Linked DNA regions of Mus musculus. The protein of the gene in region 7 interacts with the protein of the main gene of each other region in a pairwise test. Links are inferred from orthologs where the notes say so. Each region holds a gene or a part of one and is shown on either strand. Other genes may lie near its edges.

The links.
Region 1: the proteins of Ppp1ca (region 7) and Wbp11 interact in binary tests that used the Homo sapiens proteins (3 or more experiments, as listed by UniProt). The link is inferred for Mus musculus from reciprocal best matches to the Homo sapiens genes PPP1CA and WBP11.
Region 2: the proteins of Ppp1ca (region 7) and Phactr3 interact in a two-hybrid assay, tested with the Homo sapiens proteins (2 studies listed by BioGRID and IntAct). The link is inferred for Mus musculus from reciprocal best matches to the Homo sapiens genes PPP1CA and PHACTR3.
Region 3: the proteins of Ppp1ca (region 7) and Ppp1r15b interact in binary tests that used the Homo sapiens proteins (3 or more experiments, as listed by UniProt). The link is inferred for Mus musculus from reciprocal best matches to the Homo sapiens genes PPP1CA and PPP1R15B.
Region 4: the proteins of Ppp1ca (region 7) and Ppp1r9b interact in binary tests that used the Homo sapiens proteins (3 or more experiments, as listed by UniProt). The link is inferred for Mus musculus from reciprocal best matches to the Homo sapiens genes PPP1CA and PPP1R9B.
Region 5: the proteins of Ppp1ca (region 7) and Tor1aip1 interact in a two-hybrid assay, tested with the Homo sapiens proteins (2 studies listed by BioGRID and IntAct). The link is inferred for Mus musculus from reciprocal best matches to the Homo sapiens genes PPP1CA and TOR1AIP1.
Region 6: the proteins of Ppp1ca (region 7) and Csrnp1 interact in binary tests that used the Homo sapiens proteins (3 or more experiments, as listed by UniProt). The link is inferred for Mus musculus from reciprocal best matches to the Homo sapiens genes PPP1CA and CSRNP1.

Annotation. Positions count from the first base shown.
Region 1 is NC_000072.6:136,818,073-136,822,020, reverse strand, and holds part of Wbp11 (WW domain-binding protein 11), read left to right. Parts: intron 1-358; coding exon 359-492; intron 493-644; coding exon 645-844; intron 845-1,322; coding exon 1,323-1,514; intron 1,515-3,948. UniProt on the Homo sapiens protein: Activates pre-mRNA splicing. May inhibit PP1 phosphatase activity.
Region 2 is NC_000068.7:178,277,787-178,281,734, reverse strand, and holds part of Phactr3 (phosphatase and actin regulator 3), read right to left. Parts: intron 2,839-3,948; coding exon 2,629-2,838; intron 1-2,628.
Region 3 is NC_000067.6:133,129,765-133,134,285, forward strand, and holds the start of Ppp1r15b (protein phosphatase 1 regulatory subunit 15B), read left to right. Parts: upstream 1-1,401; 5' UTR 1,402-1,982; coding exon 1,983-3,851; intron 3,852-4,521. UniProt on the Homo sapiens protein: Maintains low levels of EIF2S1 phosphorylation in unstressed cells by promoting its dephosphorylation by PP1.
Region 4 is NC_000077.6:95,004,122-95,007,663, reverse strand, and holds the end of Ppp1r9b (neurabin-2), read right to left. Parts: intron 3,104-3,542; coding exon 2,874-3,103; intron 2,644-2,873; coding exon 2,547-2,643; intron 2,360-2,546; coding exon 2,306-2,359; 3' UTR 766-2,305; downstream 1-765. UniProt on the Homo sapiens protein: Seems to act as a scaffold protein in multiple signaling pathways. Modulates excitatory synaptic transmission and dendritic spine morphology. Binds to actin filaments (F-actin) and shows cross-linking activity. Binds along the sides of the F-actin.
Region 5 is NC_000067.6:156,033,535-156,038,090, forward strand, and holds the start of Tor1aip1 (torsin-1A-interacting protein 1), read right to left. Parts: upstream 2,947-4,556; 5' UTR 2,702-2,946; coding exon 2,224-2,701; exon of another isoform or gene 2,130-2,223; intron 1,674-2,129; exon of another isoform or gene 1,656-1,673; coding exon of another isoform or gene 1,652-1,655; intron 1,284-1,651; exon of another isoform or gene 1,147-1,283; intron 267-1,146; coding exon 192-266; intron 1-191. UniProt on the Homo sapiens protein: Required for nuclear membrane integrity. Induces TOR1A and TOR1B ATPase activity and is required for their location on the nuclear membrane. Binds to A- and B-type lamins. Possible role in membrane attachment and assembly of the nuclear lamina.
Region 6 is NC_000075.6:119,970,528-119,974,092, forward strand, and holds the end of Csrnp1 (cysteine/serine-rich nuclear protein 1), read right to left. Parts: intron 3,152-3,565; coding exon 2,837-3,151; intron 2,685-2,836; coding exon 1,713-2,684; 3' UTR 636-1,712; downstream 1-635. UniProt on the Homo sapiens protein: Binds to the consensus sequence 5'-AGAGTG-3' and has transcriptional activator activity. May have a tumor-suppressor function. May play a role in apoptosis.
Region 7 is NC_000085.6:4,190,415-4,194,973, reverse strand, and holds the start of Ppp1ca (serine/threonine-protein phosphatase PP1-alpha catalytic subunit), read right to left. Parts: upstream 2,801-4,559; 5' UTR 2,758-2,800; coding exon 2,703-2,757; intron 2,230-2,702; coding exon 2,098-2,229; intron 1,953-2,097; coding exon 1,722-1,952; intron 1,208-1,721; coding exon 1,103-1,207; intron 508-1,102; coding exon 284-507; intron 203-283; coding exon 68-202; intron 1-67. Other genes in the region: Tbc1d10c (carabin), read left to right, coding at 4,165-4,310. UniProt on the Homo sapiens protein: Protein phosphatase that associates with over 200 regulatory proteins to form highly specific holoenzymes which dephosphorylate hundreds of biological targets.

The DNA.
Region 1 (3,948 bases), on a different chromosome or scaffold from region 7:
GTAAAATAGGCGGTGTTTCCAACACCGCAAAACAGAATTCCAGAAAGGCGGGGGCTTTAGAGGCTGTGCATTGCCGTCCCGAGGAGTAGGGCAGCCCTGCTACTGCTTTGAACAGTTGGATTTCTTCAAAACCACAACCGGTTCAAATTATACTCAAAACGAGAGCTGATAGGAGAAAGGATGAGCTGTATTTGGGTTCTTTAAGAAAAACTAATATTCTTTCAATTCAGAAGTGTTGGCTTGAGGCTTTGAGCCACTTTTCATGGTCTTAGTGTTAGTTGGGAAACAAATTCCGAAGACTTTGGTCCTAGGAGTTGAATGGCTCAGCACCATACAACTGGGTTTCTGTATGTTTCAGAATGCTCAGCATGTGGAAGTAGAGAGCATCCCTTTGCCAGACATGCCGCATGCTCCTTCCAACATCTTGATCCAGGACATTCCTCTTCCTGGTGCACAGCCCCCCTCCATCCTGAAGAAAACCTCAGCGTATGGGTAAGGAAGCCTTACATAATGGAGGGTGGACTGCAGGAGCAGGCCCGGCTAGCACAGCAGCAGCACGGGGTGCTGTGGCTGAGCGGACGGGACATGAGAGCCTGGAGAAGGTTCCTGCCACTCAGCGCCACTGTCCTTCTCCCCCTCCACAGGCCTCCAGCTCGGGCCGTGTCTATCCTTCCTCTCCTGGGACATGGTGTTCCCCGCTTGCCCCCTGGCAGAAAACCGCCCGGCCCTCCACCTGGCCCCCCTCCTCCTCAGGTTCTGCAGATGTACGGCCGGAAAGTGGGCTTCGCTCTAGATCTTCCCCCTCGGAGGCGAGATGAGGACATGCTGTATAGTCCAGAGCTTGGTAGGCAGGGGCAGGGGTTTCCTCCCGTGCCCTTCTCAGTATTGCTTCCATGCTGACCATAGTTAACGTTTGCTACACGGAGAACACAGGAACGCCATGAGGATGCTGTGCTCTTCTGCTGTGTGTCCCTGTGGATAATTTAGCACATCTGCCTGATGAAAGCACCTTAGATAGAATGTTGCTGCAGTTCCCATAAGACAGGAAGAGGTCTTCTCAGTTTCATCAGCGCTGACAAGAGTCACTGACTGTGTGTGAGACTTTACACAATTGTTTCTAATACAGTGTGTTTGCACTTCTTACAAGAAAACAAAAAAGTATTTAAAACTATTACCCAACGCAAATGTCATCATAATACATGGTAGCTGGCATTGCATATAGAAATGTTTTGCAAGTAATGTTGAGCCAAAATGGCATGCCTATTTTTGGATACCAGAGGGCCAACCGTGTCATGTGACTCTCGTGCTCTTTCTGTCATCAGCTCAGCGGGGTCATGACGATGACATGTCCAGCACCAGTGAAGACGACGGCTATCCTGAGGACATGGATCAGGATAAGCATGATGACAGTACTGAGGACAGTGACACTGACAGGTCAGATGCAGAGAGTGACGGGGATGAGTTCGGGCACCGCGAGGACAGTGAGCGCGACAACACTGAGGAGAAGAAGTCAGGTGTGTGCGGGTTAATGTGCCGGGCGTAGATGAACACCGCTGACCCCGGTGCTGAAAGCCCTGGCTTTTGTTAATTAGGTTCAGTGTGTGCGCGCCCGAGTGTACATGCGTGCTAGAGCATCTATGTGGCAGTCCCAGTTGGTTTTCCCGATCCACTGCACAGGGGGTGGGGATGCAGCTTGGGTGATTAGGTTTGGTGAGCCAGCTCACCAGTTCAGGACCAGCTTTTAGCTCCAGTTTGGTTTGGCTTGGTTTTGAGACGGGTGTCTATCACTGTTAATTAGGCTGGCCTCGAGCTCATGGTGACCCTCCTGCTTCAGCCTCCCAAGTTGTGGAGTTAGAAATAAATATAAGCCACCGTACCTGGCCATTTATTTGTCTTGATAGTTTGAAAGGTTTTGACATATTATTCTTACAGGTGTTTGTGAGGAAAGAGTAAGTATATGTAGTTTTTTAAAAGTTATGCAAGAAATTCCACTTTGAGGCAAAAATTGCTAATATACTCTATGATGAACGTGCAGTAGGAAAGGAAGAACATGCATGGTTTTAAATAAGCTTGTGTGCGTGTCTACACTGGGAGCTGGGTTTTCTGTTCTTCATGGGGCCTTTCATAAACTGGGTGACCTTTGTAATTCATATATACTTGTAATTTTATATATAATATATGTGTGTGTATATTATATATTAAATATTTTATATACATATATGTGTCTATACACACATTACATTAACATGTATAATTATATACTATGTATATGTATAAAAGTGTATTTTTCTATATGTCTGCACTGTATTTGTATTTAGAACCATACGCCTGTTCCTTCAAAGCTGGTCACTGGTTGGGAAAGCACCTGTGTAGCGCACTTGGCCTGCATGTAAACAAACCGTTCTCCAAGGGTCAGCTGTGAAGCACCGTTCAGAAAGATGTGTGTGTGTGTGTGTGTGTGTGTGTGTGTAGTGCTGGGGAGTAAGCCTAAGACTTGATGTATATTAAATATATTCAGTTCTGCTGTGTCCTCAATTGTGTGCACACTGTATGTTACGTTTTGTCACAAAAATTTTAAGCACTGTGTTTGGGTACTAAGCAGTGCCAAGCACACACTGAGTGTGTCAGAGCCTAGTAGCCGGGGAGCTTCTTAGGGGCTGTAGCTGTAGTCTCCAGGACGGCATCTGTATACTGTGGTTTTATTTATAAGATCAGCAAGTGACTCTCTTTTTTTTTTAATTGTGTGTGTCTGTGTGCCTCCTACACTTGCGTGTGCCTTGGAGACTACACGGCACTAGATCCCTCAGAGCTGGGTTGTCCAGAGCCCTCTGGAATGCATTAGTGCTCCTTAATCATGATTACGAATGAAAGAAAAGCTTATCAAAAAACTATCATAAATTGGTGTAGGAGCAAGCCTGATCTTGGAAAATTATAGAAGACTCATAAGTTGGAACTGGTCTTAGAAAGGAGAGTGGGGTAGAACTCCAAGTGCAGGACTCCCCTGTAAGACTGCATCCTCTCTCTACTCTGCGGCTGCCAGCTGCTGCTGAGGTCCTGGGGGGTGGCGCTGGGACAGGGTCTTCTGTGTAGCCTTGGCTAGCACAGGACTTACTGACTGGCCTTGAACTGACTGAAGTCCACCTGCTGCTTCCTACTGAACGTTGTGTTCCCCAGTGTGTGTGGACCTCAGATGGCTGGCCCAGCTGCACGTCCTCTCATCTGCTACTGCCTTTACCATAGCCAGGCATTTTTCTGGGCAGTAAAAGTCCAAGATACACTAAAGCTGAACCCACATAGAAATAAATATTCCCTTCCTTAAGTGTTGGCTAAGATGTCAGACACCAGATCAGAAGTGCAGTATCTGTCAGGGTTACTGAAAGATTCTGTAGTGGAAGTGGTGTTGGGGACCGATCATAATCTTTAATCACCTGTTAGAGTATTACTAAGATTTTCCCACCTTTTATGGGGCCTTTTGTCATGATTAGATTACTAATTTTCTAGTGTAAACCATTGGGTACTTTTGGTGCACCCTGCATGCTATGATCGATTTTCCTTACCCAGCACTGTCAGACTCAGTTGTGTTATATTTTATGTTGGTTAATAGGGTATGCTGGTTTCCTGAGTTGGTCAGCTTTCATCTTTTCTGTGACTTACTGTTTTGCTGAATTGCTAAAGAAAATTGTTGCTTTAAGATACATCTTTACCGTTTCAGCTTTTATGTTTAGGGCTTAAAATTGAATTATCTAATTCAGTTTATATACTTCTTAAGTATCCTAACATTTTCTGAACATTAAGTTTTAAGTTAATGCAGTATATTTCATAAGCAACCAATTAGCACAACGCTGATTTCCTGTAATGTCCCTGTACATCTGCCTTGTATCGTGTAATGGGTTACAGTCATTCATAGTACTTACAGCGTCTGCTCTATGGTGACCATTTTTACAACAT
Region 2 (3,948 bases), on a different chromosome or scaffold from region 7:
ATTTCAAGGAAAATAAGAGACCAGCTCTCTCCTCCTCCTCCGTCCCCCAATGGTTTCCACATCTATGCAATCATGTGAACACACATACAACACAAATGTATGGGGCCAGAAATCTACCCTACAAATCCAGAAGCAGGCCCTTGCCAAACTTCAAGTGGGTTGGCAGTAGCCCAACCCAGAACTTACAGCCTCTAGGACTGTGAGAGATAAACCTGTTGCTGACAGGTTACTCTGCCATTGTAACTCAGGTAGATGCAGACCTCGGGTCCTGGTGTCAGGCTAGGATGTACCTCATCCACCTCCCCAGTACCAAGGAGACAAGCACAAGACAGGAACGCTGTCTGAGTCTGTCACCTAGTGTTCACGAGTGGAAACAACATGTCCCAGGAAGCAAAGGAAAAGACTGGACACCAAAGGCCACTTAGGTTCCAGACAGAAGTCCTGAGCTCATGGCCACCTTCCTATTTAGACCACTCAGGACCCTGATGCCTCTGAGTCCCTTCCATGGAGACAAGGGTGAGATGACAGGTGTGGACAGACTGGCTGTGGACAGATCCTGGGGACCCAGAGGGAGTGGATAAGGCAGTTAGTGAGGCAAATGTTCACAGCCTGCAGTGGGAGTCTCTCAAGTGGAAAGGAAACAGAGTCTACAGACTATCAGACCTGTGGTGCTTTCTGTAGGGGAAAGGGGGGGAGGCATGTGGTGTTCCATCAAGTGATTCTGAAATACTTCAGATGTCAAAATTGGGAAAGGGGAGTTATTGCAAACATAGAAACCAAACACTAAAGGGTATTGGTTTGCCTCAAATTTTTCACTCTGTGGTCATCCCAGTCAGCAACTCATTTCCAGCGATGTAGAGAGCAGAGTTCTGATTCTTCATTCATCACCTTAGTCAACTGCCTACACCCACTGCGTGTCTGGTACAATGACTGCACCTGCATCTGATTGCGAATGCAGAGACCAAGGGCCTTTGGAGACAGGGCCTAGAGCAACAACCTGGTGGCTTCAAACAACAGGACAGCTCACTCTACCCCAGCGGCCAGACATCTAGAATCAGGGTGAGGGCAGAGTGACCTCTCCTGAAGAGTAAGGAGGAACAGTCATCCTCCTGAGCCCTCTCATCTTCCTTGTGCCAGCGGCTGACACACCAGCCTGTCAAGCACTCTCCTGTGCAAACCAGGATGAGGCAAGTATATGTAGTGATTTTAATGAGAATAGCCCTCCCTGGGTTCAAATATTTGCAGGCACAATCCCTACTTAGCAGAACTGTGTGGGAAGGACTAGGAGGTGTGGCCATTGAGGTTTAAAAAGCTCACACCAGGTTCAGCATAAGGATATAAGTAAGCTCTCAAGCTGCCTGCTTGCCTGCCATCACGCCTCTGCCATGATAACTAAGGACTAAGCCTCGGACTCTATGAACAGGCCCTCAGATAAAAGCTTTATTTTATAAGCATTGCTGTGGTCATGATGTCTCTTCACAGCTATTAAGTGACATCAGTGTAAGACAATGATACTGTTGCTAGCCCCACGAGAGACCTGAGAGAGCCTGTGGCAGCTGCTGCTCTCCCTGCTGCTGGTGGTCGCTGTTGTGGTTTGTTAAGCGGTTGTAAGCCAAGAGACAAGAAAAGAAGTTGAAGATATCCTGATGACCAAGATTGGTCTTGCCCCCAAGAAACCTAACACCCCTAATCAGCAGGAAGTAGTCTAAAGAGGTCTAGGGGTCTACACCTCTTTCCCCTCTAATCTATTTTCTCTCCTACCTGGTGTTGGGGGGTTGGAAGGGATTAGGGTGGGATAAAGATTGGAAGGGTAGTGGATATAAGAACCTAATAAAGTAGTCAAAAAAAGTAGACCCGCATGTGTAGTGCCTGTCCACAGAGTAAGCGGCTACACTGAGCTGGGCTTTGCTCTCTAGTGTCCACTACTTCCAAGGGAGCATGTGGGAATGCGCTCTAAAAATTAGCCGGTGATAGCCTGCCTCCCTGTGAGACAGAGGTGCCTGGCCCTGAAGGCTTGATGAGTAAATGTTGACTCTGCAGCGAGTCCCCTGTGAGGCCAGGGCTGCGGTGAGAAGGTGAGGATAGCACAGTGGTTGATGACAATGGGTTTTTTTTTTTTTGCCCAACTGTGTTGCCACAGGAAGGGCCAGTGCCGACTCCTGGCTCTTCCCTGATGCATAGATGGAGCTGTTGTGAAGGAGAAAATGGGCATTCCGGGGCATTCATGGGAGCAGCAGAAACACTACAGACAACCATGTGTTAGCAGAGAAAGTGCCACCCTGAGGGCTGGCTATATACTCTGGATTCAGAGTCTAGAAGATTTCTCCTCTGACTGTTGCAGGACCCTCCCTTCTGTCAAAGAGTGTCCAAGCAGTCTGCAGTCAACAACTATGGCCTTCTGGGAACTCTTTTTGTGGCCTGCAGGGACAGGGTGCTGAGGCAATGACAAGAGTCAGCCTGGAGCTGGTGTAGGCATGATGGTTTGAAGATATGGATGGACAGACAGACAGACAGGTGGACAGACAGATGGACAGATGAATGGATGGATGGATGAATAGGTAGATCGATGAATGGATAAATGGGTGGATTGGTGGATGGGTGGATGGATGGGAGGACAAGCAGACTCACCTGTGACATTTTTTGTGGCTTTAGAGCTGGCCTTGGGTGGCGGGGTGGGCAGCAGTGGAGGGCTGGGGAGCTGGCTCACAGATCTCTCCAGGGATCTGGGAGGACTGTCCAGGGAGTCAGACCCAGCTAAGGCTTGAGAGGGCTCATCAGTGGTGGGCAGGAGGCTGCCAGCGTCTGCTTCTTCCGCAGTGGATGCAGACGGTATATTGGCTGGTTCGAAGGCAAAATGGAATAATTAGAGGAGGCTGCCATAGCATGGTTAAGAGAGAACAAGACTGGGGACAAATGGTATCTTGTCTTGATGGTGGGAAGACACTGATCCTCCATGTGTGGACTTAATTACCTTCACATTCAGTGAACAAGAGACCATGAGAAATAGGGAGTCAGGAAGTCACTTCAGGCACAGGTGACCACGTCCCTCCTCATTCAGTAGCCTGGACCCCTCACACTTGCAAGCATGCCATATTTTTTTGTTTGGGTTTGGGGTTTTTTGTTTATTTTTTGTTTGTTTGTTTTTGTTTTTCGAGACATGGTTTCTCTGTGTAGCCCTGACTGTCCTGGAACTCACTCTGTAGACCAGGCTGGCCTCGAACTCAGAAATCAGCCTGCCTCTGCCTCCCAAGTGCTGGGATTAAAGGCATGCACCACCACTGCCCGGCTAAGCATGCCATCTTGATAGATTCTAGAGTCAGAGAAGCTTGGTGTGCACGTTGGCTTGGCTTTAACTAAACCTCTGTGTACATCTTACTTGTAGTGACTTCCTGATAGTGACCCACATCAGTGGTAATGCCCTTGTACAGGACTAGTTCAAGGTTTTAAAGGAAGGGACAATGAGGCTATGCGTGCTTGTGCTCACCTGCTGTCTCAAGGGATCCCAGGTTTCGAGCCAGGCTAGGCTACACCATGAAACTATGTCTCAAAATCAAGAGAAGCAGGAGTAACAGCTTCATCAAAAGGCAGGGGTGACATCTACACTAACATCTGGTACATCGAGACCCTTGTGCCAACAGCTGTGATTTTTCTGTGTGGGTAATTGATGCCCTATCCCTGGCATACAAATCTAGGAGAGAAAGTAGAGTCAGGAAGATGGGACTTCCAGGAAAGGCCAGCCTTCCAGAGCCCTGTCCTCTCTGCAGTTGCTCATCTGTGAGCATCCATTGACAGCTCTATTTTCTCCTGATCCACCACCAGCTTCCTCTTGCTACTCTTTATAAACCAGCACAGGCCCACTGTCATCCCAACAGTCTTGCATCCTCTGCTCAGCTTCCTGCTTCCTGAGCCCTGGGGAAGGTCCCTCTCTGGATGAAACTACTACCCATG
Region 3 (4,521 bases), on a different chromosome or scaffold from region 7:
CCTACCCTCTCTGCCTGGGGATACAGCCCCTCACCCAGCGGTTAGATGATCCTCTCGGCTTCACCCCAAAAGGAACTGAAGCCCGAAGTAACTTATTTGCATACTCGGACCTCCTGCTACTATGAAAAAAACGACTCATTGCTAATTACGTTTTCCTAAAGCTTTTAGGATTAAGAAACCAGTTACTGCCAGACACAAGTAATAAGATGTTGTGGGGGCGTAAACAGTAAAAACTCTTGGTTTCAGGGAAGAAAGAGCTTGTTCCTTGCTCAACAAGTCATGAGGATCAGCTGACCCTCCCCCAGGGCAGCAAGATTCTCCTCCTTAGTGTAACCACTACGCTCTGTGATAGCCACTTGGTCTTTGCATTGTGGATTAAAATGAGAATAAGAAAGTGAACTAAAGACCAGGCATGGTGGTGCATGCCTTTAATCTCTTTGCTGGAGAGGAAGAGACAGAACTAATAAGTTCAAGGCCAGCCTGGTCTACATCGCCAGTTCCAAACAGTCAGGGCTCTGTAGAGAGACCCGGCCTCAAATAAACAAATAAATAGATAAGTAAGAAAAGAAAAAAATAAAAATAAAAAAGGAAGAAAGAAACCAAACTAGTAAGAGATAAATCAGCCAGTACTTGGTTGGAAGGCCGAGGCAGAAAGATTGTGGTTAGTTTGAGGCCAGCCTGAGCTTCATAGTAAAATCTGTTTCAAACAAACAAAATCCTCCCCTTATTACAGTAATTAAAATTAATCAGCCAATATTTTTCAGAGGACAAAAGTCACCAATGTGTTATCCTTCGCCGGATGCTCTACTCTGTGGCTCTTGTTACTGAGGAAATAAGTGAATTGAACGCGCTGTTTCTGAGTTAGTTAACAGTTATCTTCCCACCTGTGACTTCAGCTTGCTAGTAACACCGCGTTTTTCTTTCTGAGGGGTATTTTGTCAAATGGACCCTGAAAGATGTCCAAATTAGATCACAGGCAATGCTAGAGACTTAGAAATCCTAAAGCAGAGGGGACAGGAATGTGTGAGTGATTCAGTTTCACTATGATTCACTAGGGATGATGTGTGTCTTAGCACCAGGCGAGTTGGTTATACAGCACTGCCTACATCGTTTCACTCCAGTCTTCCTACGCCCTTAATAGGAGAAGACCGATACACGTGTCAGATAAGCGGATAATTTGCCTAGCAATCGGATCCATAAAAAAGGGCTCGGGAGAATTCTCGGGTTCTCTTGAAACCCACTCACCTCCCCAGCCATTCCCTTTGACCTAGAGGGTGGGGCGCGGAGTCTCCTAGGAGACCAGAATGAACTGACTGCGCAAGCGTACATCCTAGGTCCGGCTGATGCAACTCGCCGCGTGCGAGCCCCGCTCTACCCCGAGTAAGGAAGCCGACAGGGACCACAGACGCGGCCAATCAGAGGCCACGCACGAGGGTGAGGCAAGTCCGCCTCTCGGGAGGCAAGGGTGGGGGTTCGGCGAATGACGTGAGGCGCCGCTGGGCGGTAGGGAGTAGACGCCCTCGGTCCTCCGTCTCGCCCTGCAGCTTCCGGGTGTGCGGCTGCGGCCATTTTGAGCTTCGCTTCTTTGCGCCCTCGCCTGCCACCCAGCCACCCTTTCCGCCTTGGCGTTTCGCGCCTCCGTGCGGGCCACCGGAAACGCCGCCGTCGTCTCCGTCGCCGCCGCGCGAGGGAGGGTCTTCTCTATGGTGGAGCGATCTCACACGGCCTAGGACGTCTCCTTCCCTAGCCGGGATGGACCTAACCGCGGTCGCCACCGCTTGCGCGGGCCTCTGGGCCGTCCGGTGCAGCACTCGTTGCGGAAGCCGCCGCTCTCTGGGCCTCCTCTGCCGGCGCGGGAATCGGACTGCAGTACCCACTCCGTGGCTGGGCAAGGCGGAGACTGTGTAGACCTCGGATCCAGCCTGCGCTGACGCCGCTGAGCTCTGTCCTCCTCCTGTCTGAGAAGCCGCCAAGGAAAGGAGATGGAGACAGGAACGCACAGGGCCCGGAAGCGGCCTGGCCCTCGGCTGGGCTCCTGGTTCCGGCTGCCCTTCCTTCGGCGATCGCACGCCTGCTCTTCGGAGTTCCCGCCGCCTTCCTCTCGACAAAATCCCGGGAACTCCGCTCTGCCCGAGCGTCGGACCAGGTACTGGACCAAATTGCTTTCTCAGCTCCTTGCCCTGCTCCCTAGCCTATTCCAGAAGCTGCTGCTTTGGAGCCAGCTTTTCGGGGGCCTGATTCCTACCAGATGGCTAGATTTTGCCGCAAGTTACAGCGCCCTGAGAGCTTTGAGAGGACGGGAGGAATCTGCCGCTCCCACGGTGCAGAAGTCTCTGAGTTCACTGCGGCTGGACTCTTCGGAAGACTTGGTTGTCAGTTCTCTTGATTGGCTAGAGGAGGGACTCCAGTGGCAGTGCTCGTCCTCAGACCTGGAGTTAAAACTCAAGGCCCAGGAAAGAGCTTTAGACTCTGCAGCGCCCACTTTCCTCCTGGAGCAGCAGCTGTGGGGAGTGGAGTTGCTGCCCAGTAGCCTTCAAGCTGGTCTAGTCTCCCACCGAGAACTTGACTCTTCATCCTCTGGGCCTCTGAGCGTTCAGAGCTTAGGTAATTTCAAGGTAGTTTCCTATCTCCTGAACCCTTCCTACCTGGACTACCTTCCCCAGTTAGGGCTGCGCTGTCAGAGCAGCGCTGGAGGTGGCCAGTTTGTGGGTTTCCGAACACTAACCCCAGAGAGCTGCTATCTTTCTGAAGATGGTTGTCACCCTCAGCCGTTGCGGGCAGAGATGTCGGCAACCGCCTGGAGAAGGTGTCCGCCTCTCTCTACAGAAGGCCTGCCGGAAATCCACCACCTTCGTATGAAACGGCTAGAATTCCTCCAGGCTAACAAAGGGCAAGAGTTACCCACCCCTGACCAAGATAATGGCTATCATAGCCTGGAGGAGGAACATAACCTTCTCCGGATGGACCCACAACATTGCACAGATAACCCAGCACAGGCGGTGTCCCCTGCTGCAGACAGGCCGGAGCCCACTGAGAAAAAACCAGAATTGGTGATTCAAGAAGTTTCACAGAGCCCCCAGGGAAGCAGTCTGTTTTGTGAATTACCCGTGGAAAAAGAATGTGAAGAGGACCACACTAATGCAACTGACCTCTCAGATAGAGGAGAGAGCCTTCCTGTTTCTACCAGACCAGTTTGTAGCAACAAACTGATAGATTATATTTTGGGAGGCGCCCCCAGTGACTTGGAAGCCAGCTCTGATTCTGAAAGTGAGGATTGGGGCGAGGAACCTGAGGACGATGGCTTTGATAGCGATGGCTCCCTGTCTGAATCAGACGTGGAACAGGACTCGGAAGGCCTTCACCTTTGGAACTCTTTCCACAGTGTAGATCCTTACAACCCCCAAAACTTTACAGCCACGATTCAGACGGCTGCCAGAATTGCCCCCAGAGACCCATCAGATTCAGGGACATCCTGGTCTGGCAGCTGTGGTGTAGGGAGCTGTCAGGAGGGACCCCTTCCGGAGACCCCCGACCATAGTTCCGGGGAGGAAGATGACTGGGAACCGAGTGCAGATGAAGCAGAGAATCTTAAATTGTGGAACTCTTTCTGTCATTCTGAGGACCCCTACAACCTTTTAAATTTTAAGGCTCCTTTTCAACCGTCAGGGAAGAATTGGAAAGGCCGTCAGGACTCAAAGGCCTCTTCTGAGGCTACAGTGGCCTTCTCTGGCCATCATACCTTACTTTCTTGTAAGGCCCAGCTGTTAGAGAGCCAAGAAGATAATTGTCCAGGCTGTGGGCTGGGTGAGGCTCTTGCTGGAGAAAGATACACCCATATCAAGAGAAAAAAGGTTTGTTCCCTTTTACATGACTAATAACTTGCTCTATTTTGATATGGTTACTATAGCAGCATGACTTTGCCTCTGGAGGCACAGTTGTGCACATTTTTGAGGAAGGCATCTGAGCTGGTGTTCTTGAATTGAGAAATACTCCAGTGTGATCCTTCTTCCCAATATAGAGAAATGTTCTTCTCCAAATGAAAGGTGCCAGTATTAGATGTTAGCAGGGGTGTCATTTTGGTTGGTGGAACCTGAAAGTTAGAAATGGTTTTGCATGTGTTTTATTTGAAAGTATATAATGTTTTATTTTCATGGCTACAGTGTCCTTATTCCTATCCATTGGAATCCAGAGGAATAACACTAGCAAGCAGCAAATTAGGTTTGTTCAGTTGTTTGCCCTGAAAGTGGTACTGTGGTGTGTGCCTGTAATTCCAGTACTTTAGAAGCAGGTGGGTGTTCTGGAGTTTTGGAGTCTAGCCTGGTCTACCTAGTGAGTTCCAGACTAGCTAAAGATACATGAGCAGGACCTTATCTCAAAAAGGGGGTGGGGGTGGGGCATACACCTGGCTTTCCTGCAGTCAGTTGTGTTCCCAGCTGTCCGGAACCTCCAGCCCAGTTTGTTTTTTAGGTCTCTTATGTAACACAAGACCTCACTGTGAAGTCCAAGCTGGCCTTTGAGCCT
Region 4 (3,542 bases), on a different chromosome or scaffold from region 7:
TAACAGGAAGCTATTATTTGGCCTGACAGGAACAAGCTCTGCAATGGAACTAGCTGCTAGGGAGTGGCTCCCCCAGGGGCTTAGTGGCATTCATATATAGAGAACTCACTCATATCTGATATTATCAGGGGCTAACCAAAGTGACCAAAGAGCCTGGAGACGGGGCCTTTTGCTTATCACAGAAGGAAAGATGAGAATCACCCCCCAACCCCACCCCAAGCTACTGAACATATTTGCCTCCCAAGGATCTGTACAAGAAATGGCTGTGTTGTGTACTGCAGAAGTCTCATTACAATTCACTTCTGCGACTCACCAAAACTGATTCCTGGAACTGAGAGCTAGCTAAGGGGGCAGCTAGGACTATATGAGGCCTCTCAAGCCAGCTCAGGAGGGCCAAAGAACATTCTCTTTGACCGTGAGGACAATGCTCTGACAACTTATCTCCTAGGGAATCTTTGGTCCTCCTGGTACTTTGAGACCTCTGGGGTCTTGCAGATTGCTCGGTTTTCAGGGAAGGGGAGTTGCTTTCCCTGTGTGCAGCCCATCCCTGGCTACTCTAAAGACCTCGTGAAAAACAGACCTAAAGACATCGTCTAGAGAGCTCAAGAAAACTAGGGAGTGGTGGCAAGTGAGTTTGCTGGGGTCGGAGAACCGAACCAGCATTAAGATCCTCTCTAGATCATGTGCAAAATTAGTAAAAGGAGAGGACTTTCTAGCATCTCTTCCCCTCCCCACTCCAGCGCATCAAGAAACCAGGCGACGAGGCTCTGGGGGCTGCTTTTATGGGGACGACCTGACAGAGGGCATGGTCCGTACAAAACCAGGAACAATACATACATATATATATTATATACAGAGACGGGGTCCTCCAAGGGCGGGGCAGGAGCGCTGCCGGTCAAAACCGGAAGTACATCGAGGACCCGCCCACCCGGCTCCACCCCCTCCATCTGCCTGGGTGAAGTGCAGGGGCCGGGCACAGTGACAGCCAGCTCTTTCCGGGGAGTCGGGGGCACGTCTAGGGACGGAAGAGACGGGCAAGAAATACTGATTGATGGCATGGTCTATTTACAGGGGACTCGGAGAAACCGAAAAGGATAGAACTGGGTCGTTTTCAAAAGAAGAAAAAAAGGAACAGAAATTTAGGCTTAGGGCAAGGGTGGTAATGTGGAAGTGGCAAGAGATGGATTCTGAAAGGGGAGGGTACCTGAGGGGGTCTCACCTCCCTTGGTCCAAGCCCCAATTTGGGGTTAAAGTGGGGAAACTGAGTCAATTTCACTTAGAAAGCAGGCTGACAGCAAGCAGCCCTGGTCTCCAAAAAGATTAGTAAAATTTTGCCCTCCAGTGAAAACGTTGGAAAACAGCGGGGGAGGGGAAGAGGGGAGGCAGAGTCTCCTCGATGGTAATACAAGGCCTCCAGGTGTGGCCCTAGGCAGGGCCTAGCTCCCCAGGGAGAGCTCTGCAGGCACACCATCTAAGCTGACCTCCCTCCCTCCTGGCATTCCTGGGCTAGACCAAGGAAACCAGAAGCCCAGAGTGGCCTCAGGGCAGTTCCAGGAGGACGCCTATGGCTGTTTGGCACCTGGGAGAGGGGAGGCACAAGGAGAAGTTGAGGGCTGTTGCCCTTCCTAGGAAAGGGGTGCTGGACCCCAGGTGTGCTGGACTGACCCTTCCCCCGACGCCCAATCACCTCCCCCTGAAGGATACAAATCAGTGCAGGCCCAGGCCCAGCCTCTGGCTCAAGGGTGGGCTCTATCCCTCCTGGGATGGGGAGCAGGGGTGGGAGATGTTGAGGCAACCCCTCCAAGCAGGAGGCCAGAATGCAACAGACAGCACAATGATGGGGGAAGAGGAAAGGGCCAAGAACGGAGAATCTCAAGTCAAGAGGCCCAGGGGCCATACGGACCCTGTGGGCAGGGAGCAGCCTCCAAGTGGTGAGATGCTGGGAGAGCCCCAGCTCCACTCCGGTCCAGAGACACAGGCTGGAGGTTATAAAGTCTGGCAGTTTGGTCTGCAGGTCCTCGTGTCCATCCACCACCCAGGCCAGCTCTTAGCTTCTCTCGGCCTCTGCGCCTCAGCCCCACAGGGCAAGGAGACCACTCTTCCAGCCAGCATTGTCTGCCCTGGCCACCCTAAAGGGGCCTGTAATATGGGCCCTCTGGTCCCTGAAGCTGGGGGAGGTGGGGTGGAGGAGTAGGGGAAGTCGGGGCACCTGTCCCCAGGCTGGTAGGGGTGGGGTGGGGATTGAGGACAGGGGGTGAGGATAATGGGAGGGGATTATTATTGTCCGGCCAAGGAGTTATTCCTGTTAAGTAGAATTGGAGTTCCTCAGTGTCTGCAGGTTTCCTTCCAGTTCTGAGATCTAGAGAACAAAGAGAGGAGGCATCAGGCCTGGCCACTCAGCACGGGCCCTGTAACTTTACCCCCACCCTAAGCTACGACCCTGAGCTCCCAGCCAGCACCACAATCCTTCCCAAACACCATGGATTAAGTGAGTACTGGATTCCAGCTTCCATGCTGCTCACTCTGTAGGCTGCCCAGGGCGCTACCTTGTCCAGAAGTTTGTCCATTTCCTCCTTCCTGGCTAGCTCCGACTCTTCCAGTACCCGACGCTGGGCTGTCTCTTTTTTCAGGAACTCGATCTCCCTGGAGACAGGCAAGGAACAGATGGTGGGTTCGGGTGAATGGTGTGGCTTTGGTCCAGAGAGAAGCAGGCTTTCCCAAGGCCCATAGGGCTGAGTCTGGTACCCCATCGTGGTGCCCTCTAACTCTGTGTCCACTGTCTCCCTCCTCAGCGGGAGGAAGGCTGGGGTGGGGACTACCACTAAAGGCCCCTCCACCTGCCTGGGCCTAGACCCAACGCTCTTGACACATACTTTTGCTGGTAGTCCTTGATGAGACGCTTGGCCTTGCTGTACTTGCGCTCCAGGGCCTGATACTGGGCCTGGGTCTCCCGCAGGTGCTCATCCACAGCCTGGCACAGGCTCTGGGCCTCACCCCAGTAGCCCTCTAGCTTCTCCATCCGCTCCTTATTCTCCTCCACGCTCTGCTCCAGCTGGGCCTTCTCTACCCGCCAGCGCCCTTTCTCCTGCTCCAGACTCTGCAACTGTGAGAAAAGAGCAGCCCTGGGTTGGAGGAGACCAGAGTGAGCCCTGGGGGGAGCCAACAGCTTCTAAGGATTCCTGCACTCTTGGAGCCAACTGGCCCCCAGCTACTAATTCTCTGAGGCTGACCTTAGAGTTCTGCTAGGGGCGGTAGCAGGCACCCATGAGTCACCACCAATTAGCAACTTCTGCCTTATCCTAAAGATGGGAGTGACATGCCTCAGGGCTAGGGAGATGGTAGCTACGAAAGACAGTCACCACCAGACCAGCTCTGAGCCAGCCCTCTGTAGCCCTGGTTTGTTGACCAGTCCCTATCTTTGGAGATTCCTGAATAATCCAGCCCCTTTCCAGCTCCCAGGGGACTGGATTCCTGACAGCTCAGTCTGCATTCTGCTCTCTGTAGCTTCAAACAGCAGCACCTCACACAGCAGTTCTATGCAC
Region 5 (4,556 bases), on a different chromosome or scaffold from region 7:
TGTGTAACAGCCCTAGCTATCCTGGAACTCTCTTTGTAGACCAGGCTGGCCTTGAACTCCTAGAGTTCCGCCTGCCTCTGCCTCCCATGTGCTGGGATTACAGTCATATGCCACCACGCCCAGCTTGAGCTGTGATTCTTCATGAGTCTTTGGCAGGAAAAGAGAAAACCAAAAGACCAAACTCTTCTTACCTGAAGCCTCTGGTGTTCTAAGAGTTTTCTTTGAGGCTGTTTGGCTTGTAACAGGTCGGGAAGAAGGTTCATCCTCTACAGCACCAACAAGAGGTAAAATTCAAGTTAGATGACCTGGGAGAGACCATGGCACACAGTATGCATATTTACCAGTAATCTATACAGAGAGATGCAAGTATTCAACTTCTCTAGGTTCAAAACTTGGGAATTAAACCAGTTAGAAATCCTATTAAGACAGAGTATGATGAGGGCTGGGGAGAGTTCAGTGTTTACGGGCATTTGCTGCTCTTTCCGAGGACTTCCGAAGTCCAAAAGGCTTACGATATTCTGTAGCTTCAGCTCCAAGGGACCCAACACCATCTTCTGGCTTCCAAGGCTACCTGTACTCACGTGCACATACTCACACAGGTACGTGCAGCTGCAAACCATGGAAGTGAAACAACATACAAACCACTACTTGTTGCTTTACGACAAAAATGCTACTTTAGCAAGTTAAAAGGTTAGGCCCTTGGTCCTGTGAAGGCTCTATGCCCCAGTGTAGGGGAATGCCAGGGCCAGGGAGAGGGATTGGATTGGTTGGGGGGGGGGGGGGATATAGGGGAGTTTTCGGAGGGGAAATGAGGAAAGGGGATAACATTTGAAATGTAAATAAAGAAAATATAAAAAATTAAAAGGTAGGTTCAAGAGTCAGGTAAAAGAAATGTTTAAATCCTCTAAAAATGTATAAAAGGTAAACTGAATTTAGGTGCAGGAGGCTCTGTGGGAAAGTCAATAAAAAGTAACAGTTACATTGCCTCCCATGTGCAAACACTGTCTCAGTTTCTGAGACAGAATTAACACAAGTACCTAAATTTCGACCAGGCATACATGCGTGACAGGTTCCTTTTTTTTTCTCCCAACTTTGCCATCTTAAAAGAAATGCTGACATGTATAAGCAAATAAACTGTCTCCTTACATCCAAAAGAGCATGCACATCTCTAGCATAAAGTTTCCCAAATGAACAGATCTTCAAGTGTGTCAGGACTTTAAGGGCAAGTAGGTAAATCTGCAAGCCAGTTTACTGTGCTCTAAGCTTTAAATCCACTCCTGTTCAGATGCATCAAATGTATTAGGGAGGCCATCCCACTGTGACTCTAACCCTCAGAATTTTACCTCATAATTAGGTGACTGACATGGGGCTTACTGGAACCACCTGTGACTCAGTTATATCCGAGTGCAGGGAATAAGAGGATGGCTTGAAGAATTTGGTTCATCTGTGTGACTTAACTAAAACTATAGTACACACCCTGTTGGCATCTGGGGCTTCATATATAAGCTTTACTAATAAATAGAACCTTGTTTTGTTTCAGTAGTTTGTCAGTCTTGACTTGTTTAGCTACTTAAGATTACCGTGATGGCCTCCAATCTGGGGGGAAAGTCTGGCAGAGACCAGACTCTGTATTTGGAGTAATGTCACCAACCCATTCATTAAAGTCAGCTACTCCTCGTAGCATCCGCCTAGAAATGATCTCGTTTTCCCAATCTTGGTGAAAAAAAAAAAAAACGAAAGAAACCGACTGGAAAGTTAACTTAAAAACAGGATTTTCAGCTGGGGACTTGGGGCCCCCGAGATTTAAAAAAAAAAAAAAAAAAAAAAAAAAGGAAATGGAAGTGGCTTCAGTAGAAACTTCAGAGGACGGAAATGAAACCGAGCGCAGAGTAGTTTGGGGCTCCGACAATGGCTTAGCCGCCGACCTCTAGCAAAAGCCTACAGAAAGAGGAGACCTAGACCCCCCAAACTGAAGCTCCAGGACTAGGCAGAGCTGCCCGCCTCCGCTCGGGTCACTTCGCACCACCACCTTCCCGCGCGGCCCACTGCGTCCTTCCCTCTTGAGGGTCCGGGTGGACTCAATCCGGGAGTGCGCGCCCAAAGGGCCGCAGAAATCACCAGGACCCAGGCGGGGCCGGAGCGGGGCCGGCCTCCACGGGGGCGCGCCTGCCGCCGCGTGCCCGCCGCCGCGCGCGCTCCCGAGCCCGCAGCCGAGACTGTTACCTTCGCGGTCCTCACTGGAGGACGGAGAGTCCCGTAACCCTCGGCCGCTCGTGGCCGGAGACAGCTGCGGCTGCTGTGAGTGCTGCTCAAGGCGAGCAGACCTCCGCGTCTTCATCTCCTCGGCTTCCTGGGCTCGCCGCTGCCTCCGTGGTCGAGAGCGAAGGTTGTAAGCGCTTTCTCTCACTTCCTCTCCCGCAGAAGCCGGCCGGAACTTTTCTGGCGGGGTTCGTCTCCCCCCCGGAGACCTTTCTTTGGCCGCCCGGGGCTCGAAGTCGCCGTACACTTCTGCCGGCTCCTCTGAAAACCTCACTTCCCGTCGTCCGCGGCGCGACGGGTGAGCTCCGTACGCAGGCGCGTCACTGCTGTCGCCATTTCGCGGGTCGAGCCTCCGCCTTCCCTCCCGGATGGGGGCTCTGGGTGTGACGTAGATGGCCCAACCTTCTCCGGGCCCCTCGGCCTGCCACCTTTCTCCCGCCATAGTTGTTTACGTAGCTGGTAGTCGGTTCGTGGCGATAGATTGGCCGCAGATAGATTCCGCTGCGGGTAGTGGCGATGGCTTCGGGGAGGTTGTCGCAGTGGTCAGGGAGGCAGTTGAGAGTCGCCGGGGCCGCCGCCTGCGTCCTCGCTCGTGTGCCACCAACCAGCCTCCAGGCCCATGGTGTGTCCTGAGGGCTGTCGGAGAGGCAGTGCCCGAGCTGGGTCAGCTGCTGCGGGTCACTCCCGCCTCCTGGCTGAAGGCACCAAAGAGGAGGAGAAGGGGGAGGAGGACGTCTCTGTCCTTGGCCTTGGAGGGAAAGGTGGGGGCGACCAGGAGGTGGTAGGACAAGTGGCCTGTGCCAAGCTGCTGATGGCCAGTTGCCCACCACCGGGGGCGCTGGTCCTGGCTCCCAGAGGCTTTGGGAAAGGGCAAGTTTCAGTCCTTGATCCCAAGCTGTTGCGCAGTTCCCCTGCTACTTTGGCCACTCCTTTTCAAATGTCCCTGGGAGGAGAAATGATCAGAAAGGCAATTCTGCATGTCATCTTATGGCGAAAATTATAGTTTCATGGACCTTTATGAAATTGCTTTTACCCAGTTTAAAATTTTTATTCACCTGTTGACCCTTTAAAATTGTGTTTAGTTACACTCTTGGGGTGTGTTTCCATTTTTGAGTCGTAGCCATATCAACCATATTCTTGAATTTTCACGTGAATGGTATACCAATAAGCTATACCCTAGCCCTAAAAAAAAAAAAAATCGATTTTGAGTTTTTATTTGGAAGCCACATAACAGTGATTTTGAAAAAAAACTTAAAAGTATTTGCCTTTTTCCAGTATTTTAAATAATGACCTTAAGTTGTTACTCAAACTTAGACAAATTCCCAGTTACTAGAATTTTCACAAATAGTCTATAAATTTGGTCAGCAACACAGATGACTCAAGAGTCATGTTTGGAGCTTCATTTAGCATTGTTTATTAACTACAAAGAAGGGGAGCCATAAGGAGACAGCTGCCCTTTTTTTAAAGATGTGTGTGTGTGTGTGTGTGTGTGTGTAAGTGAGTGAAAGGAGGGAGGGAGGGTGATCTCTGCCTGTCCTGGAACTGTAGACTAGACTGGCCTCAGCCTCACAGAGATCAACCTGCCGCTGCTCCCCAAACGCTAGGATTAAGGGTGTGGGCCACCACACTTGGTAGCACTTTTTTAGAAAACAAAACTTAAGGAAAAACGAAAGTGATACTCATTCGTGGTAGCCTGAAAACTGGGTGTGGCTTTTTTTTTTCTACAAAACGCTGAGAAGTACTGATAACTTGGTAATGTTTGGCTTGTGTCTTTTCCAGTAATGCTTTGTTTGTAAAGTGCCTATTTACACAGTCAACAATCACAAAAATTCTTTAATAGATGTACAGCAGTGAAAGGATATAAATTTTTGTAGTGTTTATATTCTAAGCTCATAAGGCAGTGTGTGCAACAGATGACTAAAGACACCTGGGTGCTGGCTTGTTAAACTCTGGTTTGAAGGATACATGAAAAAGAAAGTGAAGAGGTTCTATACATAATTGGTCAATCAGAGAAAATGAGAGGTTACAAAGATTATTGGATAATTGGCATGTGCTTTGTTTTGTAATTAAAAGTACTTATAAAGTAGTTTTATGAGTGGCTTTTTCAAAGAAAAAATAAGGATGTTAAAGTTTAGAGGCAGTTAACTTCGCATTTAACATAGATTTGCTTAGGATTTTTCCCTCTTGCCTAGGTCATAGGTATGTGTCATCTTTAGAAGCTGTCACCCACACCTAACAACTTTGCAAAAAACAAACTTGGATTACTATGAGTTAAAGCCAAATTCTTGTCAAACCAG
Region 6 (3,565 bases), on a different chromosome or scaffold from region 7:
CCAGGCTCTAGGCAGGCAATCTACATAACCTATGCCTCACTAGGCAGCGAGAGCTGGGACTGCATCCATTCTTCTGGGTAGAATACAGTAGAGGGGCTTTAGCACAGGAAGGCTCTCCTGTGGTCATTCTCCAGAGGGCCTGTGCAAATCACTAGCAGTCAGGCTCCAGACAGAGGTTCCCCAAAACGGGGTACGGCAGCCTGCTCTGCACCCCTGACCTTAAACCCTATTCTGGCTGCCTCAGGACAGGTCTGGCAGGTCTGGCAGGTAGAGACAGTTCTGGAGCTCAAGTCCCCAGGGACTACAGCTGCCTGAGCAGCCTGTCACCAGGCCAGGCCTCCACTAGGCTAGGCTGCCCTCCCTGGGCCTGAGCAGACAGCTCTGCCTCCTTACAACTCCAGATGGCATCATGGAGGAATGGGTTAATTCAGAGGGGAAAAAAAAAAAACTGTTCCACTTGCCCAGCCAACCTCAGCTGGCTCTCTGCCTACAGCCTGACTGGCCCGCCTGGAAGAAAGCCCAACATGCTGTCCTCCTGCCTCAGTACAGCTTCTGTCCATGCTACATGATAGTGCCCCACCCCACATGCTTCCTGGGGGTACCCCACACTCCCCACCTCACCAAGAAGACCACACTTAAAAATAGAGCATCTTTATTGGTACCTGTCAGCTCAGGTACAGTGTGTTCCCACAAGCACACAGGCTGGCAAGGCCTCCTGGGCAAGGAGGCAGGCCCAGAGCCTGCGTTTCTTGGCACACACACACACACAAAGAAATGAATAAATTATAGTTCTGACACTTAGAGACAATAAAAAAATGCATATAAAATCCAACATCAGCTAATGAAGGGCGTAAGAGCTCTCAAGAGCCACCAGTTGCCAACTGGCCTGGGGGCGTGAGGTGGGCCAGGGTCGAGTCAGTGCCCAGAAAGGCCTGAGACAGTGATCAGGGTGTGCTTCATGCCCTCTTAGGGCCCCTGGCTCACCATCTTACAGAGGGGCTTTATAATCCATGGCCTTGGGGAGAGGGAATTGGAAAGAGGGCAAGTAGAGTTTCTGGGAAGGGGGCAGAAGGGGTTTTGGTCACCGCTGGTCAAGCACAGCCTCTGTCTGCTCAGTTGAGCCAGGCCGCTGTTTAATAGAGCAGCCATAAACTCGAACCCACACACCACACCGAAGCCCAGACTGGCAGGGTACACCGAAGCCTCGGCCCCAACACTGCCTGCCCACCCGCCAGAGAGGCTCCACCACTGCCGTCTCCATCCCCAAATAAATTACAGATATAAATTACATCTTCACAGTCCAGAAGACCTAGCTCCTATGGTTCACAGAAGCCCCTAAGGCCCTGCGCTCAGCCGTCGCTGTCTTTGGAGCAAGGAGCATCTTACAGTACAGAAAGAGGGACTGCGAGGCTCCAGGAGAGCCCCGCCCCTTCCTCCTTCAGGCATACAGTAGGAGGTGGAAGACCTCTGTTTGGACATAAAGAGACCAGGCATTGAAAGAGGGGTACCCTCCCCACCCTCCCTTCTTCAGTACAGAAAAACATAAAAAAATAAATAAATTCAGAGTGTTAATGTAAAAATAGAGGGTGCCCACATGGCACCATGAGCAGGACCAGCCCGTAGGAGACCGTTACATACATAGACCTCGGGGAACCCCAAGATCACAAAGAGCAGCAACAGGGTCTCAGGGCAGGAAGAAGGCACCTTAATCCTTACACTGGCACAGGCTCCAACAAAGGTGCCAAGGCAGCATCCTCAAACTGGCTCTCCAGAAGGGGTGCCAGGACTTCTGTAACCGGCTCAGACAGGCCCACGAGAGACTCCAGGAAGCAAGTGCTCGCATCCCGTGGTGGAGAGAAGCTGGGCAATGGGTGGAAGGTCTCAAGGCTATCCGGGCTGCCCGACACCCTTCGGGAAGTATAGTGAGGTCCCAGACTATAATCTGGCAGAGCCTGGAGAAGCTCAAAGGAGTCACAGGAGGATAAGCTGAGGTCCCAGGAGCTGCTCTGGACGGCGTCCCCCTCAGGGGACCCAGAACTGCCAGGGAGGCTACCTTCTCTCAGCCCTCCAAGTCCGCTGTTCAGGAAGCAACTGGCGTCCAGGTTGGCATTCTCATCTAGGATGCCCGATGCGAGGCTAGAGCCAGACTGGCTGTGAGTCCAGCTGGCCAGGCTGCCGGGGTCACCGGTACCAAAGATGTCAGCCAGATGGAAGCAGCTGAGGTTATCCAAGTTGCCCACACCCCCTCCCTCCTCCTCCTCCTCCTCAATTCCGAGGTCAGAGTCACTGAAATTCAGGATCTGTTCCAGGCTGTCTTCATCTACGCCAGACCGGAAGCTGGGACCTGGCAGGCTGGGGTGGGCAGGGTGGTTTGGAGGCTCGCTGCTGCCAGAGGACAAGGTCGTGGAAGAGTCTGTCATATCGCTGCTGCAACTGCTGTCCCCCAGTTCACTGCTCACAGGGGGCTTGGAAGGCGGAAAGGGGGAAAGCGCGGCTTGTTCAACAGGAGTGTCCTCCACGGGGGACTCCAGGTCCCCCAAGCTCTCGGCACCCTGCTCCATCTGCAGGCGGGTGAGGGTGTGAATGAAGTGCGTCTGAACTCTTGTCTGATTGAATTCCACTCGACCATTGGGGTTCTCGCAGCCCTCCCTGCAGCAGCCACAGGGGAAGGACGTGTGATCCATCTGCAGAGAAAGACAAAGCCAAAGTGAGAACTTCGGAGATGCAAGAAGCCAGCAGGCCCGGCTCCCCACAGACAGGGCTTCCCTGTGTAGCCCTGCCCGAGTACTGGGATTATAGGCACACCCCCCTTATCTTACCCAGTCCGACCACGCACCTGGCACTTAATGCCGGCCAAGCTGCAACTGCAGGTCTCAGGGTCACAGACGCCATCACAGTGACAACCACAATCCTCCCGGGACTGGCGCAGCACCTGCAGCTCCCGCTTCTCCTCTCGGTCAATCCTTCGAACGCCGGAAGCCCGAAGGAGAGCCCGTCGCTGCCGAGGTGGATGGGGCTGGAGGAAATTGGCTTCCTCCAGGCGGCCATTTGCCACGGCCACTGCCAAGTCCTCCTCTACAGAGGCGTCATCGATGGCATCCGCTGTGAGAGGCACGCCTGCCCCTGACTCCGGAACTCCAGCCACTGAAAACTATAAGTACAGAAAGACGGTGTGAGAGAGAGAGAGATTTAGCTCTCCCAGAGAGTGGGGTGCTGTCTGTGGGGGAGGGGTACACACTGTGCTCCACAGCTACAAGGATCTCTTACTCAAACCCCGATGTACTGGCAGTGTCAGATCAGTCTAGCCGGCTGATCGGATTCAGCTAGGAAGATTCAAGCATTATTTATGCCCAGGGCCTAGCCTGTGGTCTGAAGCCGACTACTTTCATTTGGGAAAGGGCCATGGCCTCAAGCTTGCGGAGGATGACCTCGAATCCCTGATTCCTCGGCTTTCACCACCCAAGTTCCAGGACGATGGGTGCACCAAGATACCTGGTTTATGCAGTGCTGGTGATGGACACCAGGTCCTCCTCCCCACTAGGAGGCGCTCTCCCTGCCTGAGCTA
Region 7 (4,559 bases):
GAAAACACTCATCAGGGTCCTGGGGTTGAGCCAGGCGTCTATTGGGCAGCCTCTTCCCCACACCCACCTGGAAGGAACACATGAGGGTCTCATCCACACTCATCATGGCACCAGCATTGTCAAACTCTCCACAGTAGTTGGGAGCTGAGAAGAGTGTCACCAACTGTCTCTTGGCAAAGAACTCATAGCCATCTTCTACAACCTGGGCCAGGGCAGGAACGGTTTAGTCTGTAAGTTAGGCACCCCACCCCCACCCCCAGCCCGCCCCAGGCCACCAGCCCACCTGATGTGCTCTGCAGATGAGGTCCAAATCATGCTTGTGCAGGAACTTGGCTACCACCTCAGCCCCAAAGGTAAAGGAGACACCACGGTCATTCTCGCCCCAGCCTTGAACATCCTTGTCAGGGTCAGACCACAGGAGATCACACAGTAGGCCCTGGTCAGGCACGTCTGTGGGCCGCATAATACGCCTAATCTGCTCCATGGATTGCAAGTCTGGAGACAGGCCTGGGGGTGGTGGAGTGGGAATAGTGTTCCTTAAACCAAGTGCTGTCCTGTGCCCAGCTCTGGGGTGGGACAGCTCCACTGTTCCCACCGCTAATCTGGGCTCCTTAAGTTCAGGGAGACAGAATCCATTACTTCCCCACTGGCCCCATTTCTCTGTGGCCTTGGCTGTCCTGGAACTCACTTTATATGACACCACCACTTAGAAGTACAGATAGCAGACCTCGGGGGTGGGGGGGCAGAAGGAGATTAATGAGTTGACTACAGGATGCCTCATGCCACAACAGGAAAGAGTGCAACCAAACTGGTGGGTGGAGCATGCCTTTAATCCCATCACTTGGGAGTCAGAGATAGGCAGGAGCTCTAGTGAGTTCAAGGCCAACCAGGTCTACAAAGTGAGTTCCAGGACTGTCAGGGTTTTACCCAGAAAGCCAGTCTCAAAAACAAACGGGGGTGTGGTAATCTCCCCTAATAAGCGATATCCAAGATGAGATTCAAGGAGCGCTATTCCAGGGAACTGAGAAGAGTTCTGTTAACTTTACAAGGCCCCTAAGGATGTGGCCCAAGAACCCAAGCACAGACCCACAACCACTCTCACCCCCGTGGCAGCAGAAGATCTTCTCATCCACAATGGCTGCAATGGGCAGGCAGTTGAAGCAGTCAGTGAACGTCTTCCACAGTTTGATGTTGTATCTTCTCTTGCCTGCGCAAAAGGAAGCGGCTCATAGGGAAGACTACACCCCCAACCCCCAACCCCAGTCTAGGTTTCTGTGCACCCATCCAGGGACAAAGCTGAGAAAAAAAGACCGAAAAGCAAAGAAAGCTTACATTCTTCTCTTTGCTCTACCCTCATCTACCTTCCAGAATTCCAACACCTGAACTCGTCTGGCCCAACCATGATGGTGGTACCCACTCTGGTCCCATGGATGAGGCCAAACCAGGAGTGGGTCTGTTTTATTCATACAGGCATCCTAAATGTTTACTAAGGAATGTACTAGAAGGGGGTGTCATCAGGCAGGGCTGTGGCTTTAGCAAATGGGCAGCCCTGCATGTACATCCATTCACCAGGCCCCTCCTGAGCGCCAAGGACGACAGACGTGTTGCTGGGGCCCTACAGGGCTCATCATTGGGGGTCTTTTGGCACTAGACCAATGTAGGGGGCCCATGAAGAGCAGGGAATGTAGTTCTGGGCAGACAGCAACATTCAAAGCACTTACATTCATCATAGAAGCCATAAATGCGGTTGATGCTGGCACACTCATGGTTCCCACGAAGTAGAAAGAAATTCTCCGGGTATCTGATCTTATAGGCCAGCAACAGGCAGATGGTCTCCAAAGACTGCTTGCCCCGATCTACATAATCCCCCAAGAAGAGGTAGTTGCTCTCTGGAGGGAAGCCACCATACTCAAACAGCCGTAGAAGGTCATAGTACTGGCCATGGATGTCACCTGGGAACCAGAGAAAACTAGGTAGGTGCAAGATGTAAACTTGACCCCAGGGCCAGCAATAGGTTAAAGGGTGGAGGAACACGGTTAATGGGGCACGAGTAGGGGCTATTTTCAGGAAGCAAAAGGGTTCTGTGCAAGGATTTACCACAGATCTTGAGGGGCGCCTCAAGCTCCAGAAGAATGGGCTGGCTCAGGAAAATCTCCCGGGATTTGAGGCACAGACCACGGATCTCGTTCTCTGTCAGCTGCACGTTCTTCCCAGGCCGTGAGCCCTGCACTGAGTACGGAATAGGGTCTTGGGACCCTGACCTCGCAGACCGGACGAGGGTAGGTGTCGCGCCCCCCTAACAGGGGCAACTGTTGCAAGTGAGCCCCCACCCCCTCACCCCGAAACCTTTGCGTCAGGCCTTCAAAGGCAAGATCCGACCCCTTAGCCACCCGGAGGGCCTCCAGAGAAACGCCTGTGCTCAGCAGCCTGTCAGCCGAAGCTTCCTCGCTTCGGGATCCCTTCCCAGCTAGCTTCGCAGGAGCCTCACCCTGAGTCCCGGGCACTCGTGCACCCCCGGCCTCTGAGCGCGCTCCAAAGCCCAGGCGCCCGCGGGGGGGGGGGGTGCCGTGGCCATGGATCCTCACGGCCTGTCCCCGCCCAAGCGACGCTAGCCCCCGGGAGCGGCGGGCCGCCCGCGCGCCACTTCCAGACGGCGAGGGGCCCGGGCTCGGCGCGAGCGCACCTTCCCTACCCCTGCCCACCTTCCAGCAGGCGCCCGATGATGGAGTCCAGGTTGAGCTTCTCGCTGTCGGACATGGCGGCGCCGCCGCTCCGGCCCACCAGCTCCGGGCCCTCTCCTGCCTCCCGCCCTCTTACAGCCTCCTTCCGGCCTGGCTCTCCTTCCGCCCTCCCCAGCCCGCCCCCGGCCCGCCGCCCCTCCTCTTCGGTCGACCGCCCCGCCCCGCCCTGCCGCGTCCGTAGTTCCCCGCTCTCTAGCGCCTCCCCTGGACGGGAAGCTCCGCAGCCCGAGAGGGCCTCGGGCGAGCGGGCGGGGCTGGCAGGGGTGGTGAGCCGGGGTTCGGTAGGGCGGGGTTAGGTCGGCTCCACCCTGGAGGAATCGCCCTGCCGCGTTCAGATGAGTTAGGGCCGGAAGTACTGTAGGAATTGTTTTTCTCTTTCCAAGTCTCTCCCACCCCAGCCCTGCGTGGGACTGTGGTATGAGCATGTTAATCGCTGACTTCTCAAACACTAAATAAATTCCTCGAAGTGCAGAAAAAGAAACTAAGGCTTAATGATACTGAGAGTGGGCTCCAGACCTCCGGAGCCTCACATTCACCTCCATCTTTATGGCCAGACCCATGAACACCTGCTACTGAACTCTAAGCAGTGTTTTGGTCCAGGTTGCCTTGGTGCCTGCTACGTCCATTTTTTTTCCATAAGTGATGTAATACGTTGTATCTCGTTCATGTTGTAAGTCCTTTGTAGAGTACTTGGACTTGTCTAGCATGTGCAAGGCCTGAGGTTCCAGCTCCGGCTCTGGAAGGAACATTAAAGTAGGCTTGGTGTCGTAAACCTATAATTCCAGTGCCTGAAATTCCTGCACTCAGGAGTCTGGACACAGGAGGATCAGAAGTTCAGGGTCATCTCCTGTCTGGGCTACATAAGACCCTGTTCTCACACTACCCCTTCACTCTCAAAACAAAACAAAACAAAAAACCCGGGGCAGGGGGTTGGAGGGGTGGGATGACATTAAAGGATAATTATTATTGGAACCATAAATTGGTTTTACTTGGTAAAACTGAAGGTGGCCTGTCATCTTCAATTTGGGCCAGCCAGGGAATCAATACACCCAGCATCCTCTGGATGGGAGGAGGTCGTGGCTCTGGCACTAGGGCAAGCAGGAAGAACCTCACAGAGGAAGGGGGGAGTCCCCCCACCAGGGAGGGGCCCCCAGCAAGCTGCTGAGCTGAGACTGAGGAGGAAGTGAGAAGAAGAGGTGAGGTGCAGCAAGGAGGTGAGCCGGGCTGCTGGGGTAGGGGCCAGGCTTGGGGCTGGGGCTCTGCACAGAGACTTGGTCTCAGGGTCTACCCGACTCCCCAGCAAAAGAGGGGGCTTAGTCCCCTGTGACTGAGGACTGGTGGCTGGAATCCCCAGCCTGAGTCTGGCTGTTCACACTGGCTCTCTGTATGTCTTGCAGCCTGTGACACTGGGGTCCAGGGCAGAATGGCCCAGGCCCTGGGAGAGGACTTGTTATCAGAACTACAGGATGATTCTAGCTCCCTAGGGTCTGACTCAGAGCTGAGTGGGCCCAGTCCATATCGCCAGGCTGACCGTTATGGCTTCATTGGGGGCAACTCAGGTGAACTGAGGTGAGTGAGGCATGGGTAGGGGAGAGAGTAGGGTCCAGAGACTGAGGACACTAGCCCAAAACTCAGCTGCTGGTGTCACTGCTCGGTTCCGCGTGGTGGGGTGGGGGTGGGGGTGGGGTGTGCTTTATCTCTTTATCCTCTGACGATCTGTACCTTCCCCTAAAGCTGAACATCCTTTCCCTTTTAACCTCTGGTCCAAGAACCCCAGATGGAAATTTGGATGTCTTCTCTTCTCCAGGTTTCCCTTAC